3 separate regions of the Mus musculus genome follow, and regions 1 and 3 are each reported to be linked to region 2. The links are microRNA targets in miRTarBase. Many come from high-throughput screens and were not tested one by one. Region 2 holds a microRNA gene; each other region holds the end of a gene's coding sequence.
Evidence for each region. Region 2 holds the annotated microRNA mmu-miR-378b (CUGGACUUGGAGUCAGAAGA, at 2,754-2,773, shown strand). A microRNA usually pairs through its seed, bases 2 to 8, with sites in the 3' UTR of a target mRNA and lowers its output. Matches are read on the target gene's strand: a 7mer-m8 pairs with bases 2 to 8, a 7mer-A1 pairs with bases 2 to 7 and ends in A, and an 8mer does both.

Region 1 (6,627 bases), not on the chromosome of region 2:
AGGATTATGAAAGAATCGCAGCTTGGTCTGGTAATCTTCCTGTTCAAAGAGAAGAGCTTTAGAAGACCCCCCTTGAGTCCCTGGCTGGCTTAACATAGCATGAACCCTCATGTGTTGGCCAACATTAAGGCTTTTTCTATAAAAGTCTCCTCCTTCATCAGTATACGCTCGAGTATGAAAAGCATCCTTTTAAACCTTGACTCTGTGTGGTCCAGAAACAGCAGCATCCCTTGCTTAAGAGCTTAATGGAGATGCAGGAGTGCAGGCCTCTTCCCAGACCGGCTGATGTGCAGGTCAAAGTCTAAGCACTGCTGGATCAACACAGAAGTTATTCCGAATGAGGATGAGATGGATACGAGAGAACAGGAAGTAGGAAGGGATTTCTTTATCGTGAATTGCTACAGCAGCCTAATGTCACCCCATACCCTTCTGAAGAACTATGTCCCTGTGGATGCCTTTGTCTCTAGAGTTCTGAGCAAAATGGTAGGGTGTGCTTTGCAAAATGTCATCATTGATGTTGAATTTCAAAGTCTTTAATTAAGGGGCTGAAATCTGTATATTGAGATTTGTAAATCATCTAAATTGTAGAGTAATGTTTGCACAGGCTGCTTAAGGGATTGACATTAAAGCTCGTTTTCTTAGTTAAGAAATACAGTCATTTCCTCAACTCCTCAGTCATTAGCTCTCTACTAACTACAGTGCTGACTTTTTTCCCCTTAAAGTCTGTGAATTCCAAAGAAGTGTTTCACTATTTCCTCCATTATTATAGCTACCTAGAAGCTATGTTCATATATTGGATTAAAAACGTAGCAATTACAAAGTTAATGTGGCCATATAGAAAAGGGAAAAGAAACTCCGCTTTCACTTTAATATATATATGTGTGTGTGTATATACATATATATACATGTTGTGTGTGTATATATATATATATATATATATATATATATATATATATATATATATATATATGTTGTGTTAAGCAGTAAACTCAGGGCCATGGACAGAGGGGCAGACATTGTATCTCTAGGCCTGACATTTTTAATTTCTGGTTGCAGGTTTTTATGTAGTTTAACTTAAACCATGCACTGAAGTTTTAAATGCTCGTAAGGAATTAAGTTACCATTGGCTCTCTTACCAAATGCGTTTCTTTTTTCTCTCCACCCTGATCAAACTAGAAGCCGTGGAGGAACTTCCAGAGATGAGTGGGAAAACGGCCCGGCGCTTCTTCTTCAATTTAAGTTCTGTCCCCAGTGACGAGTTTCTCACATCTGCAGAACTCCAGATCTTCCGGGAACAGATACAGGAAGCTTTGGGAAACAGTAGTTTCCAGCACCGAATTAATATTTATGAAATTATAAAGCCTGCAGCAGCCAACTTGAAATTTCCTGTGACCAGACTATTGGACACCAGGTTAGTGAATCAGAACACAAGTCAGTGGGAGAGCTTCGACGTCACCCCAGCTGTGATGCGGTGGACCACACAGGGACACACCAACCATGGGTTTGTGGTGGAAGTGGCCCATTTAGAGGAGAACCCAGGTGTCTCCAAGAGACATGTGAGGATTAGCAGGTCTTTGCACCAAGATGAACACAGCTGGTCACAGATAAGGCCATTGCTAGTGACTTTTGGACATGATGGAAAAGGACATCCGCTCCACAAACGAGAAAAGCGTCAAGCCAAACACAAACAGCGGAAGCGCCTCAAGTCCAGCTGCAAGAGACACCCTTTGTATGTGGACTTCAGTGATGTGGGGTGGAATGACTGGATCGTGGCACCTCCGGGCTATCATGCCTTTTACTGCCATGGGGAGTGTCCTTTTCCCCTTGCTGACCACCTGAACTCCACTAACCATGCCATAGTGCAGACTCTGGTGAACTCTGTGAATTCCAAAATCCCTAAGGCATGCTGTGTCCCCACAGAGCTCAGCGCAATCTCCATGTTGTACCTAGATGAAAATGAAAAGGTTGTGCTAAAAAATTATCAGGACATGGTTGTGGAGGGCTGCGGGTGTCGTTAGCACAGCAAGAATAAATAAATAAATATATATATTTTAGAAACAGAAAAAACCCTACTCCCCCTGCCTCCCCCCCAAAAAAACCAGCTGACACTTTAATATTTCCCAATGAAGACTTTATTTATGGAATGGAATGGAAAAAAACACAGCTATTTTGAAAATATATTTATATCTACGAAAAGAAGTTGGGAAAACAAATATTTTAATCAGAGAATTATTCCTTAAAGATTTAAAATGTATTTAGTTGTACATTTTATATGGGTTCAACTCCAGCACATGAAGTATAATGGTCAGAGTTATTTTGTATTTATTTACTATTATAACCACTTTTTAGGGAAAAAAGATAGTTAATTTGTATTTATATGTAATCAGAAGAAATATCGGGTTTGTATATAATTTTCAAAAAGAATTGTAGTTGTTTTTCAGTTGTGTGTATTTAAGATGCAAAGTCTACATGGAAGGTTGCTGAGCAAAGTGCTTGCACACTTGCTGTCTGTTTCTTGCAGCACTACTGTTAAAGTTCACAAGTTCAAGTCCAAAAAAAAAAAAAAAGGATAATCTACTTTGCTGACTTTCAAGATTATATTCTTCAATTCTCAGGAATGTTGCAGAGTGGTTGTCCAATCCGTGAGAACTTTCATTCTTATTAGGGGGAATATTTGGATAAGAACCAGACATTACTGATCTGATAGAAAAGCTCTCGCCACCCTCCCTGCAGCAAGAACAAAGCAGGACCAGTGGGAATAATTAGGAAAACTGTGACTATGTCAGGAAGTGATGATGGCATCTTGTTCTTTCTTAAGCCTATAATCCCTTCCAGGGGGCTGATCTGGCCAAAGTACTAAATAAAATATAATATTTCTTCTTTATTAACATTGTAGTCATATATGTGTACAATTGATTATCTTGTGGGCCCTCATAAAGAAGCAGAAATTGGCTTGTATTTTGTGTTTACCCTATCAGCAATCTCTCTATTCTCCAAAGCACCCAATTTTCTACATTTGCCTGACACGCAGCAAAATTGAGCATATGTTTCCTGCCTGCACCCTGTTCTCTGACCTGTCAGCTTGCTTTTCTTTCCAGGGATATGTGTTTGAACATATTTCTCCAAATGTTAAACCCATTTCAGATAATAAATATCAAAATTCTGGCATTTCATCCTATAAAACCTAACCCGTGAGAGCAAATGGTTTGTTTGTGTTTGCAGTGTCTACCTGTGTTTGCATTTTCATTTCTTGGGTGAATGATGACAAGGTTGGGGTGGGGACATGACTTAAATGGTTGGAGAATTCTAAGCAAACCCCAGTTGGACCAAAGGACTTACCAATGAGTTAGTAGTTTTCATAAGGGGGCGGGGGGAGTGAGAGAAAGCCAATGCCTAAATCAAAGCAAAGTTTGCAGAACCCAAGGTAAAGTTCCAGAGATGATATATCATACAACAGAGGCCACAGTGCCTAAAAAAATTAAAGAATGTCTGATCAGCGTCTCAGCACATCTACCAATTGGCCAGATGCTCAAACAGAGTGAAGTCAGATGAGGTTCTGGAAAGTGAGTCCTCTATGATGGCAGAGCTTTGGTGCTCAGGTTGGAAGCAAAACCTAGGGAGGGAGGGCTTTGTGGCTGTTTGCAGATTGGGGAATCCAGTGCTAGTTCCTGGCAGGGTTTCAGGTCAGTTTCCGGAGTGTGTGTCCTGTAGCCCTCCGTCATGGTTGAAGCCCAGGTCTCACCTCCTCTCCTGACCCGTGCCTTAGAACTGACTTGGAAAGCGGTGTGCTTACAGCAAGACAGACTGTTATAATTAAATTCTTCCCAAGGACCTCCGTGCAATGACCCCAAGCACACTTACCTTCGGAAACCTTAAGGTTCTGAAGATCTTGTTTTAAATGACTACCCTGGTTAGCTTTTGATGTGTTCCTTATCCCTTTAGTTGTTGCACAGGTAGAAACGATTAGACCCAACTATGGGTAGCCTTGTCCTCCTGGTCCTTCAGTCATTCTCTAATGTCTCTTGCTTGCCATGGGCACTGTAACAAACTGCAATCTTAACATCTTATAAAATGAATGAACCACATATTTACATCTCCAAGTCCTCCAGATGGGAGTGCGATCATTCCATAAGGATCCCACCTTCTGGCAGGTCTATCCAGTACATATTTTCTGCTTCATTGGTCTTGATTTTCTTGGCTAAAATTACTTGTAGCACAGCAGGCCCCATGTGACATATAGGTATATACATACATGTATGTGCATATAGTGTGTACATGTTCTAATTTATACATAGCTATGTGAAGATTATGTTACATATGTAGATGGTCGCACTTCTGATTTCCATTTAGGTTCAGAGAGAGACGTCACAGTAAATGGAGCTATGTCATTGGTATATACCCCGAGTGGTTCAGGTGTTCTCTCTATTTTTTTAAGATGGAGAACACTCATCTGTACTATCGAAAATGAGCCAAATCACTTAGCAAATTTCTAGTCACTTGCCTTGCTGTTAAGATACTGATTCACTGGGTGCTGACATGCTGAGCCCCTCCCTACTTTTTGATTGAAAGGACAAAGGAAGAGAGCTTTGCAGTAAAGAATGGTTATATTGTGGGGGCGAGGGGGGCGGCGTTATAGATCGGCATATATGTGAGGAGGTCACAACAGCCTGCACTATTCCTTTTCTGTTTTATGTCTTGCAGGGGAAGGGACAGGTAGGGTGGGGTTGAGGGGGCAGGGCACACACATCTACTTGGATAAATTGCATCTCCTCTTTCCTTCACCCCGCCACCATATCTTAAAGCCTTATGACATCCTCTAGGGCAGAATTTTCTCACCAGCTCCCCGCCCTACCAACTTCAAAGTGAACTTCTAACTAACTTGAGGGGCCAAAGTTCTAAATAAAACTTGTTAGAGTTTAGCGGGCACCTCAGTCATCAGGAATGCCTCCAGGAAAGCAAAAAAGCTTGATGTGTGTACAGCCCACGTGGTGGAGTCCTGCCACCCTATGATTCCTGTCCCAGTGGTCTGGGTGGGGCCTGAGATCCTGAATTTCTAATGAGCTCCCAGGTGACACCCTGACTCACTGTGCCAGAGGACTGCAGTTTGAGTAGCAAGGTTGTGTGGACTGTTCTTTCGATCATGGCTACAGAAGCTGGCTCAAGTACAGCCCCTTCGTGTGTAAAAGCCATGTGTAAATGAGAAGAAACAGAAGGCAAAGCTGCGTTGCATGGCATCTGAATCAGTGCCCTGCAGTTTTGTTTTTTGTTTTTTTTTTTTCAAAGACATTCTTTTTCCCAACAAGATGAGTGGCAATCTTATGTTCTAGCCACTCTTAGACATGAAAACACTGGGTTGCTTATCTTGTAAAATCTGCTCTGCTTGCTTGCTTGGGCACGCTGCAGTCAGTTTAGTCAAATGCGTGTCAGTACATCTATATGTATGAGGGAGCAGGTGCAAGTCCTTAGAAATGTACTTTAAAAAACTTGAACACTTAAGTCAGTGTGCTGAGCTGCTCCTGTGTGATGTTAGTGCCAAGCACCTGAGTTAAAGGGATCTCTTTGAAGGCAGAGGGTAGATGTCGTATGGTTGAAGCATTTGTTTATACTAAAATGATGCTTGACTTTTTTCTAAGTTATAAGACAGTACACTGTATAAGTTCATTGAACCTAGAGGGTGGCATAGGACTCCAAATCTGGTATGGGAGGTTTGTTCTAATGGAAGTTCGAATCTTTTTTGCAGTTGGCTTGGAATAAAGTGCTTATGTGAATGGGCTTAAGCTAGGGAAAAAAATGGGTTTCCCTCTGCAAAGAGGGTCAGCACAGAAATAACTTCCTGGCTTTGCTTGGCATGAATGCCACTTGTTAGCAGAATGCCCTGTGGGGATCAAGGGTAGCTTGGGCAGCACCTTACTCGGCTCTCAGAAACTCTTAGAAGCAACACAGACTTTAATATTTGTTGAAGAAATGTCAGGATGAATATATTCTTAATCTCAACCAATCTTGTTGTGTAAGACACACACACACACACACATGCACACACACACACACACACACACACGCACACACACGCACACGCACACACACACACACATGCACACACACACACACGCACACACACACACACACACACACATCCCTGTGGGTGAACAGACATGTGCACATACACACATACAAGCACACATATTTGCATACACACGTACATGCTAACAAGCACACATGTTCACATGCACGCATGCACACACATGCATGCACATCTCTGAAGGAATTTTCGTTTGCTCATGTCTAGAGTCTGAATGCTGAGGCAAGAGCATCAACCGTCCCCCACCCCACCCCCTTGGCCAATCCCTATGGATTTATCATTTTGTTTAGGTCTCTAAACTCTGAATGGAGACCCTCTGAGGTGCTACACCATACGCTGACTTTAACAGCACTTAAAAGCTTGTGTTTGCCTGTGTGCTGGGCCCCTCGCCAAGGCATTGCTGGGAGTCCATTACTGTTGCAGTCCATTCTGATGAGGAGGTCTCTCAGCAAAGCCCCGATCTGCTCACAGCTCTCCTCATAAGGAGCAGGAACTCATCTGGACCGAATTTACCCTAGAACCGCTTGGCCACAACACTATGAGAGAAT
Region 2 (6,627 bases):
ACATTATCTCAGAAACGCCAGACTGGGGAAAAGAAAGCTTAGAATACACCTTAGCTACTGAGGGACACCCGGCATCCACACAGCCAGAGACTGTGTGCTCTGTCTGCGAGAGGGGTGGCCAAAGGTGACACTGCCTTAGGCTTCATTTTAGCCTGTTTCTAAGACCACCACACCTTCCTAGTGAGGGCCCCAGCCTATCAAACAGGTCAATTCTGCCTCAACATTTTACCCATTCAGTAGACTAAACTTTATTTACTGTTTAAAAACAAAAACAAAAAACATAGGCCTTAGATGGTGATGCACACCTTTAATCCCAGCACTTGGGAGGCAGAGGCCTACATAGCAAGTTCCAGGCCAGTGACACAACTGAGATCCTGTATTAGAAAACAAAATCAGAGGGGTTGGAGTGATAGCTCAGTGGTCAGGAGCACTGGCTGCTCTTCCAGAGGACCTGGGTTCAATCCCCAGCACCAATATGGCAGCTCACAACTCCAGTTCCAGGGAATCTGACACCCTCACACCAAAGCATATAAAATAAAATTAAATATTTAAAACAAAACAAAATAAAAACCCCAGACATAACGCCCCCTCCCAAAACCCCAAAACTCCAAGCAATTTCCATTATAAAAGTAAGCTCTTAATTGATTCTGAAATTCCCAGCAGCTGCTGGACCTTAGCTAACACGTTTTGAAGAAACTGAGTGATGGAATATCACTTGTCTTCAGCTTTAGAAGGCTCACTCCTCCCTCCTGGCTCCTGTGGCATCACTCCTCTGCCCTGTAACAGCTGCCAAGAAGAGCATCTGAAGTGTACGGTGGAGTTCCTCTTGCCTGGGGCCCTGTCGCTAGAGGCCCTTGCTTCTCTTGTGGCTTTGAAGAACATGTAAGTGGATTTTTTTTTCACGCACTTGTCATAGGAGCGAGAAGAGATTAATGATACTGCACTTGAGAAGGGGACACAAGATCCAAAGTGGACCAAACCACGCTGGGCCTGGCTCCTGCCTCAGCAGAGGAAAAGGGACTGTTGCCTCTGGATGCCCTTGGGCAGGATGCGCCCCTCTGAAGCATTTGGCCAGAAATTAATAAACAAGACGATCAAGAGAGTGGGTTGGGGAAACGGGGGAAGGTGTGTTGGGGGGGGGGTATTCAAAGCAAGTGAATAGCTTATTTGGAAATGTACTGGCAGCAGAATTTTTTGAACCAAGAACATTAAAATTGCAGATGACATTTGCCCCTTCTTCTCTCATGGAGGCAAATATCCAGCAGAGATATCCAAAAGGTAGCACTGTGTTGGTGGACCACATCTTTTTCTTGGGGACTCAGGAAACACAACGAGCTAGACAGTGGACTCCTGGTTTACCCAGGTACCAGCCCCTCTCTCTACAGAAGAAGGAGCTAGCTCTGACTGTGGGTAAGAGGATCGGGTGGGGTTGGGAAAATATAGTAGTGGAAAATGGACAGAGATTTTTTTTCAGCTTCTTTCCCTCTAAGATAGGAAGATACTAGATAGGCAATGAAGAGAAGGCAAGAGAGCCTCACCCCTGGAGACAAATCCAGCTAGAGAAAGACAAAGAGGCAGCAGGCTGACAGAAGAATGCTGTTCAGAGAGCCCTCTGTGGAAGGCTTAGAAGGCAGGCGGGCTGCTGGGATTCACCCTACCCGTGGCAACATTCTTGGCTCCATGTGCACCTGGAAGCCTGGCACTTGTAGTGTGGAGGGAATTCTACAAGAAGCTCATTTTAGGCCTACAGTATCCCTCCCTGCTCAGTCATATTACATCCAATGAGAGTGGCAGCAATCTGGAGAGAGGCACTGTGCTAGAATATGGCTTACTGCCATCCCCAGTTCCACTGGAGTATGTGCTTGCTCAGCCACAGTCCATTCCAGCTCAAGGTTATGCAGCAAGCATCCCCCAGTGAAGGATGGAAGACTTGGCTGCTGAGTCCTCACCAGATGGTACAGTGGACAGGCAATAAACACCTAGACAATGGAGCCTATGCCCATATGGGTTTGGCCACAGAGGAGAAATGTTCCTTCAAGCTCTGTAGTCAACACTTGTGTCTCTTGTGGCAGAAGAGCCACGCCCCAGATAGTGTGATAAGGTCTCCAGGCAAGCAACCTATATGTATTTAGGGACCTTGTTCAGGAAGGGATAAGGACAGACACTTGGTAGCTGCTACTGCCTGCCGATATCAGGAAGGCAGCTAGGACAATGGAATGTCCTTCATTCTGGAAATCAGCACAATTCCTCACACTGTACTGGCTGGCTACTTGATAACATGGTCTCTTCCTGTGAGCTGTGAGAGGCAAAGAAGCTGGTGAGAGGCCAAGTTCCCATGAAAGTTCTTTCTGTGAAATGCAGGTTTCCCTTTCCCAGGCACCAAAAATCATCTGGAGGGGTCAGGTGTGGTCTCCCAAACCCAAGAAAGGATATGGCATCACTGTTCATGGGTAAGGAAGGGCATCGTGACTATTGTGTGGCTAGTCCAGCTCTATCTGTGTGTGTGTGTGTGTGTGTGTTATCTAGAAATATCATGGCATATCAGCAGAAGCTGAGACTGTGTTACATGGCTTGGGACAAGGCTGGCAGTTTGGGGGTCCACTGTGGTAAACAGGCTCACTTCTGAGTAATGTCCATAGCCCTGGCTTAATTCTAGGGTGGTTCCTCCTTCTGCTCCTGATTCCCAGTGTCCTGGGCTATCCCAGTCCAGGCAGTACCCTCAGGAGGCAGGTACGATGGATAGAGAGGGAACCCTGGACTTGGAGTCAGAAGACCTGAGGTTGACTCTGGCCCTGCCCTGACACCTGTGTGTCCTGGTCCAGCTTGTGTCCTTATCTGTGACACATGAGTAATGTGCCCCTTATTCAATCTGAGTCACTAGCATGTTATGAGGATGAAAAGGAGAAAAAGCCCTGTGACTTATCAGGTATATGCAGAGCCCACACAGGTCCTGTATGCACATTTAGCAAAATCCAATAGAGGAAAATGCAATCCACTTGCCATACAGACCTGAAGGTGATTACAAAAGGGTTCAATCCATCCGTCTGGTGCATTTAATCACCCTGGACCCGGAAAAAAAGGACTCAGGGGGGTGGGGTGGGGCGAGCAACATGAAAGGCAGGGACATTTGCTATACCTCAGAAGGCCAGCAAAGCAAGAGGAATGTATTCGAATGAGAGTTGAAGGTATTTTACATTAAATGAAAAGCTTCCTGCTGCCCAAGAAAACACCTGGATGGCTGACCTAATGAAGCCTTCCTATCTCATCTCAGAGAAGGGAACAGAAATTGGACCAACGGCCTGTATTGGGAATGAAGACCCTTACCTGGGGGTGCTCAGTTAAAGCCTTCCAGGCAGCAGCCTTCCCCACTTTCTAAAGTGGGCTGGGGTGGGTGTGTGTGAAGAGTGAAATTAATCTCTGGGGGTTAGGAAAATGATGTAAATCGCAATAGCCTTACTGTAGGTCCAGGAAAAGACGTGGAGTCCAGGTATTTCTATTGTCTAACACTGGGTAGAATTTGAAGGGAGCAGCAGAGCAGGGGACCCCCTCATAGCCACAGCACCCAGGATATGTTGCATTAAAGCCACTCGATGTCTGAACGTGTAGCCTCTGTCTCCTTGTCCAGCCCTTTAGGGTCTAGGACCAAAATACCAAAATTAAATAAGGAACCCAAGGGCTGAAAGCAGGCCAACTCCAGTTTGATGTTGAAAGTCCCTTGGCCTGTTTTCACCTGTTCTTAAGGCACGTCGTCGTCTACCTAACTTACTAGGGAAGCAAGCAGTATGGTTTTCCCGTGTGTCTCCAGTCATCTCCACTTATTGCTATGCTGCTCATCGTGAAGGTCTCACCCCTGCCTGTCCCAGCCATAGATCCCTTGTGTCTCATACGTTACTTCTTATATGACCAATGCATATTTCTCTGTACTACACACATGCTACAGTACTATGAAATCCAAGGCTAGGACTATATAGACTTAGAAGATGGTCTAGCACTGTATTCCAGCAGCAGTGACGAAGATGGTCTAGCACTGTATTCCAGCAGCAGTGACGAAAGCTACCTAAGAGTCAGTGGTCAGCACATCCCTGGTAGGAATGGCTAGGGAGGAGATGTACTACTATCACACATGGCTGGGCCAAGATAGGTGAGAGCTAACGGGATAAGAGAGGGCCAGGCTAGGAGGGCCACTCACTCAACAGCTTTTAAGATGGGTTTCATTACGCTGTGTAATAGATAAGCAAACTCAGGGTCTTAGGACTGTCTCCAGTTCTAACTTGAAAGTACAATGTGACATCAGTCGTGACACGACTCAGTTGTCCCTCCTTGAATCACAGTTTGATGTTGCAGACACCTCTGTTACTAGCCAGGGATCTCCTTGGGGTTGGGTGGTGCCTATGAAGACATAGGGGACTTCATCTCTGCTGATGACTGGGGTAACCTTCCACTGTGGCATAAAACAAAGAACTTTGTGGCAAAGAACAGAAATGTAGTCAGTGTTGGGAGTCAGTAAGTGGGTGGGCCACTGGCCAAGCCCTTACTGAGACTGTCACTTCTATCAAGGCCCAGACACAGTGGGGGGCCCCAGAGAACTAACCCAGCCCTCAAAGTCCATCTCACTCTGCTGGGTCCTGTGGGGAGCTGGGACACCTCATGGCCGATTGGCACTTGCTGCCCAATCACTTCTAACAGCATCTTGGCACCCGGGGACCCAGCATCTGGGTGTGGCTGGTGGCTGGTGGGTGAGGAGGGTGTTGAGGGCATAGTCCCTCAAGGATCTGTACAGAAGGCTTTCCACTTGAGTAGTCCGTCTTTAATGATTGTAAAGACGCAGGAGTTTAATCCATTTTTGATGTAAGCACTAATAGCTCTGTGTCCTTGAAGTTCAAAGCGGGCGCATACATGTCACTAATTAACCAAGCGCGGAGCCATTCAGCTCCCTCTCATGTTCCTAATTAGGTCTTTAATAACAAACAAACTCCGACCTTAGCAAGAGGCTTCCATTTGTCAGCCAGTCTAGGCGTATGGCTGCTTCCCTGTTTACAGTTGTCTAAACTTTTTGCTCCTCATCTCAGCCTGGACTCAAGGGAGATGGGAGAGTCACACCACAGAGACAAGGACCCCTTAAGGTCGTCCTTGAAGGTGGTCTTGTTGGCCCTGGTAGGCAGAAGAGCCCTAAGCCCATAGGGACTCTAAACCTAGGCTGGTGACTTCCCCTGCTTCCCTTTGGAGGATGCTGGGTGCCTGCCATGGTCAGGGATGGTATAAAGTTGCACAACTAACCAGGACGTGAGGCTATGGCTATACACTGACTTTGCCCAGGCTCTGATTTGATGGGTTTGAAATATGGCCTGGCAGTGAGGGAAGTTGAAAAAACACCCGGGAGATTCCAGCACGCAGCATAGTTGTAACAAACTGTAAGGCTGGCTCACTTGCTCACTAGCAGCGATGAGCAGGTCTTCTGTTATTGAATTTGTGTGTCCTGTATGTGTGTGTTTGTGTGGGGGGTGTACATGTCAAGTGTCTTTATTGCTCTCCACCTTATTTGTGACAGGGTCTCTCGATGAACTTGGAACTCATCCATTTGGTTAAGCAGGCTGACCAATCAGCTCCAGGGATCCACCTGTCTCCACCTCCTAAGTGCTGGGATTACGGATGCAGCTGAGCATTGCTGTTATGTGAGCACCGGGAATCAGAACTCAAGTCCACCTGCTTGCAACAGCACGCCCTTTACCAACTGAGCCGTCTCCCCTAGCCCCAGGTCTTCTGCTATTGATGAGTCCTGTTCACAAAGACAGAACCACAGAAGCCTGAAAGGTCCCACCAAGCACACTTAAGGCTGGAAATCTGATATACTGAAAATGTGATTCTTACTGTAAACAGAGCCCTGCCACACCGCCATGCACCCTGCACTTGATGGCTGACTGTTTTCAAGGGCACACCCCACACCTCCACGGGATTTCCTGCCACTGGGATGCTCTTGGCTTTCTCCGCACGATGTCCTTAAGCCACTGTCATTTCCACTGCTTATGTCTCCTAGGACGAAGGATCAGGAGCTTTGGACGGCGCAGCAATACAGAGCTGCCGGGCTGATGGGACCTACTGGGGACTGTAAGTCTGAAATCCTCATTTAGTAGAGGTGGATGCCGGCCAGGAACCATGCCCCGCCCATCCTCCCTCGGGTTTATCTTCTAAGCTATTTCTCACTCTCAAGGCCATCTCCTCCTCTAGGAGGTGGGAGCACCTCTTGGTGGTTTCAATATCCTCTTAGCTATTTGAACCTTGAAGGTCAAGACCTAAGGGATGGAGGTCATGAACTCGACGAGACCCCTAGCCTGTCATGGTGAAGACCCCTAGCCTGTCATGGTGAGTTTATTCCCCAAGACAGGCAAACAGAAAAAGAGGCTGGCAGAGGAAGACCCTGAAATCTCAGTGGAAGGTTTAAAGGGTGTTTTTCTGGATTAAAGAAGACAATGTGAGGTCAAAGAGAGCATAAAGAGACAAGGAGTTTCTTCCATGTCATGTGGTTTCTGCTGTGTTTCTGGTCTGTTCTCTGGTGGGGGAGGGGTGGATTAGTTTTCTGCCTGACTCTCCAGGGTACCCACCGTTCTGTGTGTATCTATCTGTAAGGCT
Region 3 (6,627 bases), not on the chromosome of region 2:
ATGGATGCCCCCACCCTCCACCCCATCTGACCTCTAAACTCCCTGGGGTCTCCAGTCTCTTGAGAGTTAGGTGAATCATCTCTGAATGAACATAGACCTGGGAGTCCTCTACTGTATGTGTGCTGGGGGACTCATAACAGCTGGTGTATACTGTCTGTTTGGTGGTCCAGTGTTTGAAAGATCTCGGGGTCCAGATTAATTAAGACTGCTGGTCCTTCTATAGGATCATCCTTCTCAGTTTCTTTCAGCCTTCCCTAATTCAACAACAGGGGTCAGCTGCTTCTGTCCGTTGGTTGGGTGCAAATATCTGCATCTGACTTTTTCAGCAGCTTGTTGGGTCTTTGGGTGGGCAGTCATGATAGATGCCATTTTGTGAGCACTCTTCATACTGCTCTTACATTCTCTGTTCATCATCTTTTCTACTCTGATGAACGTACCACTCTATTCAGTCATAAAGATGAACTATTCCTCTTTCAGGAAAAGATAAAATTGTGGTGTGTAGCAAAATAAGCAAGAAAAATACTGCCATGTTTTTTTTGTTTTGTTTTTTTTGTCATATGTGTAATCTAGACACACACACACTACATGACATGAAGTTAGGAGGAGAGGTATTTAGGAAGTGGAAGGAAACCATGGGGAGAAAGAGTTCTTTCCATCCAGTGGAAGGTGCATGTGAGCAAAGTATCTGACTTGTATTTGTAAAACGTCATAAGGGAACCCATCATTATGTACGAATATAAACAAATGAGTAAATAAATATAGTAGTGAAAATTGTGGTACAAGTCCAGCATTGTAGGATGCTCCATTGGACACTGCTGATAAAAAGCATGGAAGAGCCCATCAACAAGCACTACTTTGATGTCTCCATTGGCGAAAGCAGGGAGGACCATCTGCTTTATTCTCTGTCACTAGACAGCTTAGAATGAAAGGTAAGAGAATATGACCTTAGAGTACGGTATGGATTGTGAAGGTTAATTTTCTTGGTAAAGAAACTATCTATTGGGAGATAATCATGTCTCAAGGACACAAACAAGGGGGCAAGATGATGAGTTACCCTGAGGGTAAGAGCTCCCCAATGAGAAAAAGAGATCTGATTGGCAGGAGATGGTCATAGGCACTTTTGAGTCACACAAAAGGTGTGTGTGCTTACCTTATTTTAAATTTTCTCTAAGTACCCTTGGCTTTCTTCCAACCAATTTTGTTATTGTTGCTATTGTTTGCTTGTGTATGTAATGGTTTGAATAAAATGGCCCTCATGGACCCATATGGAGTGGCACTATTTGGAGGTGTGGCCTTATTGGAGTGGTCTTGTTGGAAGAAGTGTGTCATAGGTTGACTTTAAGGTTTCAGAAGTGGCTCACTCTTCCTTCCTACTAGTTGAGAAGATGTAGAACTCTCAGCTACTCTCCAACACCATATCTGCCTGTACTCCACCATGCTTCCCACCATGCATGAACCCTGAATTGTAAGCCAGCCCCAATTAAATGTTTTTCAAAAAGTTGTCATGGTCAAGGGTTTCTTCATAGCAATAAAACCCTAAGACAGCTTAAGAGAGGGTCTCACTATATAGCTTTTGCTAGTGTGAAACTTTCAATGTAGACTATTCTAGTCTACATAGTGAGTACAGGCCCACTTCTGCCTCCTGTACTCTGGGACTTAAAATGTGTGCCACCATACCCAGCCCTCACCTAAGATTTTGCATCTATACCTATGAAAGGAGAAATTTTGAGAAAATAAAGACTCCCTGGACTTTCTTCAGTGGGGACTACATGGCAGAAGGTTATTAGTGTGCAAAATATCCTTGATGGAAATGTATGTAGGGTAGAACAGGTATAAAAATGAGGGCTGTCTACATATGAGACATTAGATTATTAATATTACTAAATTTATTATTATAAAGCCAAGGGTAGTCTCCAGTAACTATATAAAAGTAGTAGTTTTCATGAACTGTTGAGAGAACTGGGGGAAAGCTACAGGAAATGAAGTGGTAGTTTTCTGTTAAGTATCTTACCAAATCCAGTTTATTATTGGTTATTTCCTCCACCTCTTCTCACTACAAACCCCCAGACACGAATGCCTTGTCATACTTCAATGCATTGTACCTTGGAGACACTGTAAATCTTTACCAATAGAAGATTCATGGCAAACCTGTGCCAAACAGGTCTATAGGCACCACTTTCAAATAGTTCAGATAATCATTGAGAATCCTAACAATGGAGTGTATTTTGAAAATTATTTTTATTATTTTTTAAGTGCATGTGTGTGAGGCTGAGGCTGTAAGTGTATGTGCATATGTACAGCTGCCTGTGCAGGAAGACAATTTCTCTGGAACTGGAGTTACAGGCAGTTATGAACTGCCCAACATGCCTGCTAAGAAATGGTGCACATTGTCAGCAAGCACAGTAGCTCTGGTAGCCAGAGAGTCATCTCTACAGCTGCAAAATGAAGTATTTTTAATTAAAGTAGTACACTGTTTTAATCATAATGCCAGTGCATGCTCAATAAACTATGAGCACTATAGTCTAATCATAATTCTTACAGAACTGGGGAAAACCGTATGATTGTTCTGTTGTTCTGCCCTGGAATGGATCATGTCATGTCTCTGAAGTCAGGCTGTACTATATAAATGGCCAATGAATGAGTCTTTAGGAAAGAAATTCACACTGAATGCATAAATTCCTTTATTGAAAATATTGGAATATCATTACATGTAGTTGAAATCCATAATAAAGGGCCACACATTCCTGTTCAGACAATACTGTTTTAAATAGAGAACACAGCATCTGGATATGCTCTCACGAGTATAGCATCATGGACTAAACTAGGCAAGAGTAATCTAGAGGCAAAATGACCATCTTGTTCATTAACAGCATGGTTACAAACAGTGAACATCATCACCACACGACATTCCTGGGATCTCGCCAACTCATGTGTGTGAGCAGACCAAAGTCAAATTGTATATTTTTAAGCAAGAGTCCTCAATGGGAGAACTTGGGTGAAAAGTATATATGGTCTACAGATTTAAATTTTCATAGCATTCCTTTAAACTAGCATGGGATGGCAGTGAATATAGTGATCGGCCTGATGGAGACCACTGGACAGTGTTTTCTTACAAGGAGGCTAAAATGGAAGAAAGACTTGAAAATATGACAAACATAAACAGACATGTAAACACGGTTTGCTCATTTTCTGTTCAAAAATCTCTGGGGAAATAATTCGCGATAGACTACTTTTCAGCTTTGGCTATTATTTAAATTTTTTCCATTAGTAGTCTTTGGCTTTCATAAGAGGGAGGCAATCATTAACATTAATGATTTTATATCCTACTATTTAAAATAAAAGATGTCTACTGATGTGAAAATGAGTTTATATTTAAAAAAATATAGATTTTCTTTTTTCTTTCAATTGTGATATGAATGTAATTCTTTGAATTGTTTTTTCTCCAGTAAGATTCAAGAAACCAAGAAAGTTGGTCCAACTTGGCATCTTTTATCCAACATTAAAAATGCACAAATTATATACTCTCTTTTAAAACAGATGGCTACCATTAATGTAAACACCTGGAAAGAAACAACGTAAAAGAAAAAAAAGAAAAGGAATGAAAAAAAGAAAAAAAACTAAGAAACTTAGTTACTGTTATTAATATACAATTCACACAATTTCATAAGAAACAAACACTCTGTAGAAGTAGGACTTGTACATTCATGTTCATAAAGATCTGTATTTCAATAAACACCATCTTACAACTGTGAGAGAAGCTATATTCTGCTTCACACAAATGCTTAGGGTTTTCAAAGATTACCTTAAAAACTAAATAAAAAGTTGGTCTATAATAGATCAAAAAACATTGGTAATGAGCTTTTGAAAACTCTGTCTCTGTCTTTTTGACTCTCTCTCTCTCTCTCTCTCCCTCTCTCTCACTCTCTTAATAAATAAAGATTATATTACCCTAAATAATCAGGGCAAAAAATGAATAAAAAACTATACAAATCAAAAGAGCCTTGTTTCCCAATAGCACAAAACATATACATTTCTTTATTTCAGGATTTGACACATTAAAAGAAAAAAATCAATATATTTCAGACAATATACTAAAAATAATAAATAAAAGTTTTTAAAAAATCAGATATTCCCTTTAAGTGCTATATCCTTTCAATTTCTCTAAATCAGATTTAGCTTTCTATGGCAAACAAAAAGTATATATTTGGTAAAATTATGCTGATAAATACACAAGGAAGGTATGTATTTCCACAGTATCATATTTTTTCACAGTTACCAAAAATAAAAATTGCATTCAACTCATACATCAAAAAACACTCTGATTTCTCATGGTGTGAATTTGAAAGCAGTGGAGGTACAAAGTCTTTTTGTTTTGTTTTTTTAAAACAACCTGGACTTGAGATTTCTGTCTTCAGTGTCTGCCCTCCACAGTACCTTCCAGAATCTGTCTGCATTGCTATGATGCTCTGAGACAACCGCAGGAAGAAAGCATTGCTGTAGGATGAGGCAGCCAGGGCTGGGGCTCGTCTTCCAGTAAGACGGCTAATCTAACCCAGTCTTTTCCATGTTTTATTTTAAGGCAGCCTGAGTTTCACTCAAATGTCCATACCTCTAGGTCCTGAACTATGAAGTCTTCTTTTTTTGAAAGGATATCATTATTAAAAGTACTGCAAGAGTTGCTGCGTCCATGATATAAATCAGCATCTAGCCACAGACCAAATCGTCCCCTGTAACAAGGTTAAAGGAGAAAGGTCACTACACGGTCAAGGCTTACAAAATGACATGCTTTCTGCCTTTTTCCGAGAGGCTTCCTTTCATTTGGGACAAAATAGACAGAACTCTAAACTCCTTACAAACTAAGAGCAAGCTGTGTAAACAGGTCTCTCTTAAAGGACAAATGGTTGCAGTCTCTCAGGCACATTAATACATCATTTATCTTTGGTTCTCAGTGGCATGTGTTAGTACACTGCCCTAATTAATCTAAGCAAATTGAATAGCTGGGCCTAAGTGATCCCCAAGTAATAAAATTACAAGAGCCTTACCCTCCACCACCAAGTTCTAAAGAACTTATGTCTCCATTGATAAAATATGAGTTTTCTCCACTCCACTTAAAGACCTAAGGGCAAAACCACAAAAGAGAGCACCAACATTTCAATTCGGAGAATTAGCAGAGAAGATACCTTGAATAGTCATGTTGTGTATAAAGGAAACACACCTTTGAGTAACAAAGCATTTGACAGAATGGCTACAACATGATCACCAATCGTTATGAAATAGTAAAGACCATTCGATAATGTGCTGGCTCTGACCTTCAATCTCTCCCTGCATCGCAGACTGAGAAACTCCTTGTGCTGGGTTTCTAAGCTGTCTGTATGCTTCAGTCATGGAGACCGAGACTGCGTGCAAAGGATGCAGGCAGGATTGCAGGACACCCACTATCTCAGTGTCTGAACACCCCGGAACCTCCTGACTGCTGACAACACAACCCTAGCCATTCAAGTATTCCACCCTTCCAGGTACCTTGAAATTCGGACTAAAGGTGTAGAGAAACGTTTCGCCTGTGCCATAATAGTGGTCACTGAACTTGAAGGGATGAGTTGCATATGCCCCAAATATCTATTAAAAGAAAACAGAAGACATAGTTACTTTCAAAATTAAACTCCCATAGAGACCTTCTAAAACATTTTTGACACACTATTGTTCTTGGATCTTATAACTCTTTCAGCAAAGTTTATTATTAAATTAGAACTCTTTAAGTGGAAAAAAAACCCATCAAACAAAGCAATTACTACAATACCCCCAGCTCTAACTGGAACCCATGTGGCCAGGCTTCCTGGTACATGGAAAATCCATCAGAGAAGCTTGGAGGCATTATTTGTTAAAGTGGCCAACAATTCAGTGGTTAAAAGGCTGCTGAAGTAGAATATGGAGAATGGCATTTTTAAAAAATGTGTGTTACACACAGAAATGAGTGCTTGACAGGACACCATCACATCTCTAGAATGATTTAGTTTTATATTTTGTTTCTTGGGACAGAGTCTTCTATTACAGGGTAGGCTAGATTGGAACTCACTATGTAGCCTAGGTTGGCCACTAGCATCCACAAAGTTGTCTTGGTGGAACCATCATGTCAAGTTTTCTCATGTATTTCATAAGTGAGATCAAGGCTGGACATTCCATCCCCTCAAAGATAAACTTTCCTCCCTTTCAATTTTTAATAATGAGAGATGAAAATACTTAAATATGACTGGTCAAGGTACTTAGTTTGAAGCAACTTTGAATTAAAAGGTAACTCTTTCCTTTAAATGTGATTTTTGTGGGGGTCGGGAGGTAAGCTTTGAGACAGGGTTTCTCTACAAAGCCCTGGCTGTCCTAGAATTCACTCTGCAGACCAGACTGGCTTCAAATTCACAGATATCCACCTGCCTTTGCCTCCTACGTGCTGGGGTGACCATCACCTAGCCAACTGTGATATATTACTACATCCACGACTCTTCCGGGAGGTAGGCGAGTCACGTTACAGAGTCTAGTCATGTAATGCCTCAGCTTACTGTCCTTCAGTTCCCATCCTATCTGCGCATACTGGTGAGAGTGCATATCGGAGATGAAGCCATATATATCTTGACA

Region 1: miRTarBase lists Bmp2 as a target of mmu-miR-378b. Seed matches in the 3' UTR shown: 8mer at 2,547-2,554.
Region 3: the mRNA of Ncoa7 is a reported target of mmu-miR-378b. Seed matches in the 3' UTR shown: 7mer-m8 at 4,392-4,398.

The regions. Positions count from the first base shown.
Region 1 is chr2:133,559,698-133,566,324 of GRCm38, forward strand. It overlaps Bmp2 (bone morphogenetic protein 2), which reads left to right. Exons shown (of 3, transcript NM_007553.3): 3 at 1,177-3,199. The coding sequence ends at 2,018. It overlaps Mir3090 (microRNA 3090), which reads left to right and starts at 5,011; the gene lies at 5,011-5,097.
Region 2 is chr11:88,350,086-88,356,712 of GRCm38, forward strand. It overlaps Mir378b (microRNA 378b), which reads left to right and starts at 2,688; the gene lies at 2,688-2,779. All of the region lies in intron 11 of Msi2 (musashi RNA-binding protein 2), which reads right to left.
Region 3 is chr10:30,642,925-30,649,551 of GRCm38, forward strand. It overlaps Ncoa7 (nuclear receptor coactivator 7), which reads right to left. Exons shown (of 16, transcript NM_172495.6): 14 at 5,521-5,616; 15 at 5,043-5,116; 16 at 2,658-4,727. The coding sequence ends at 4,592. Among named protein-coding and RNA genes, the nearest start is that of Hint3, 28 kb to the left of the region's middle.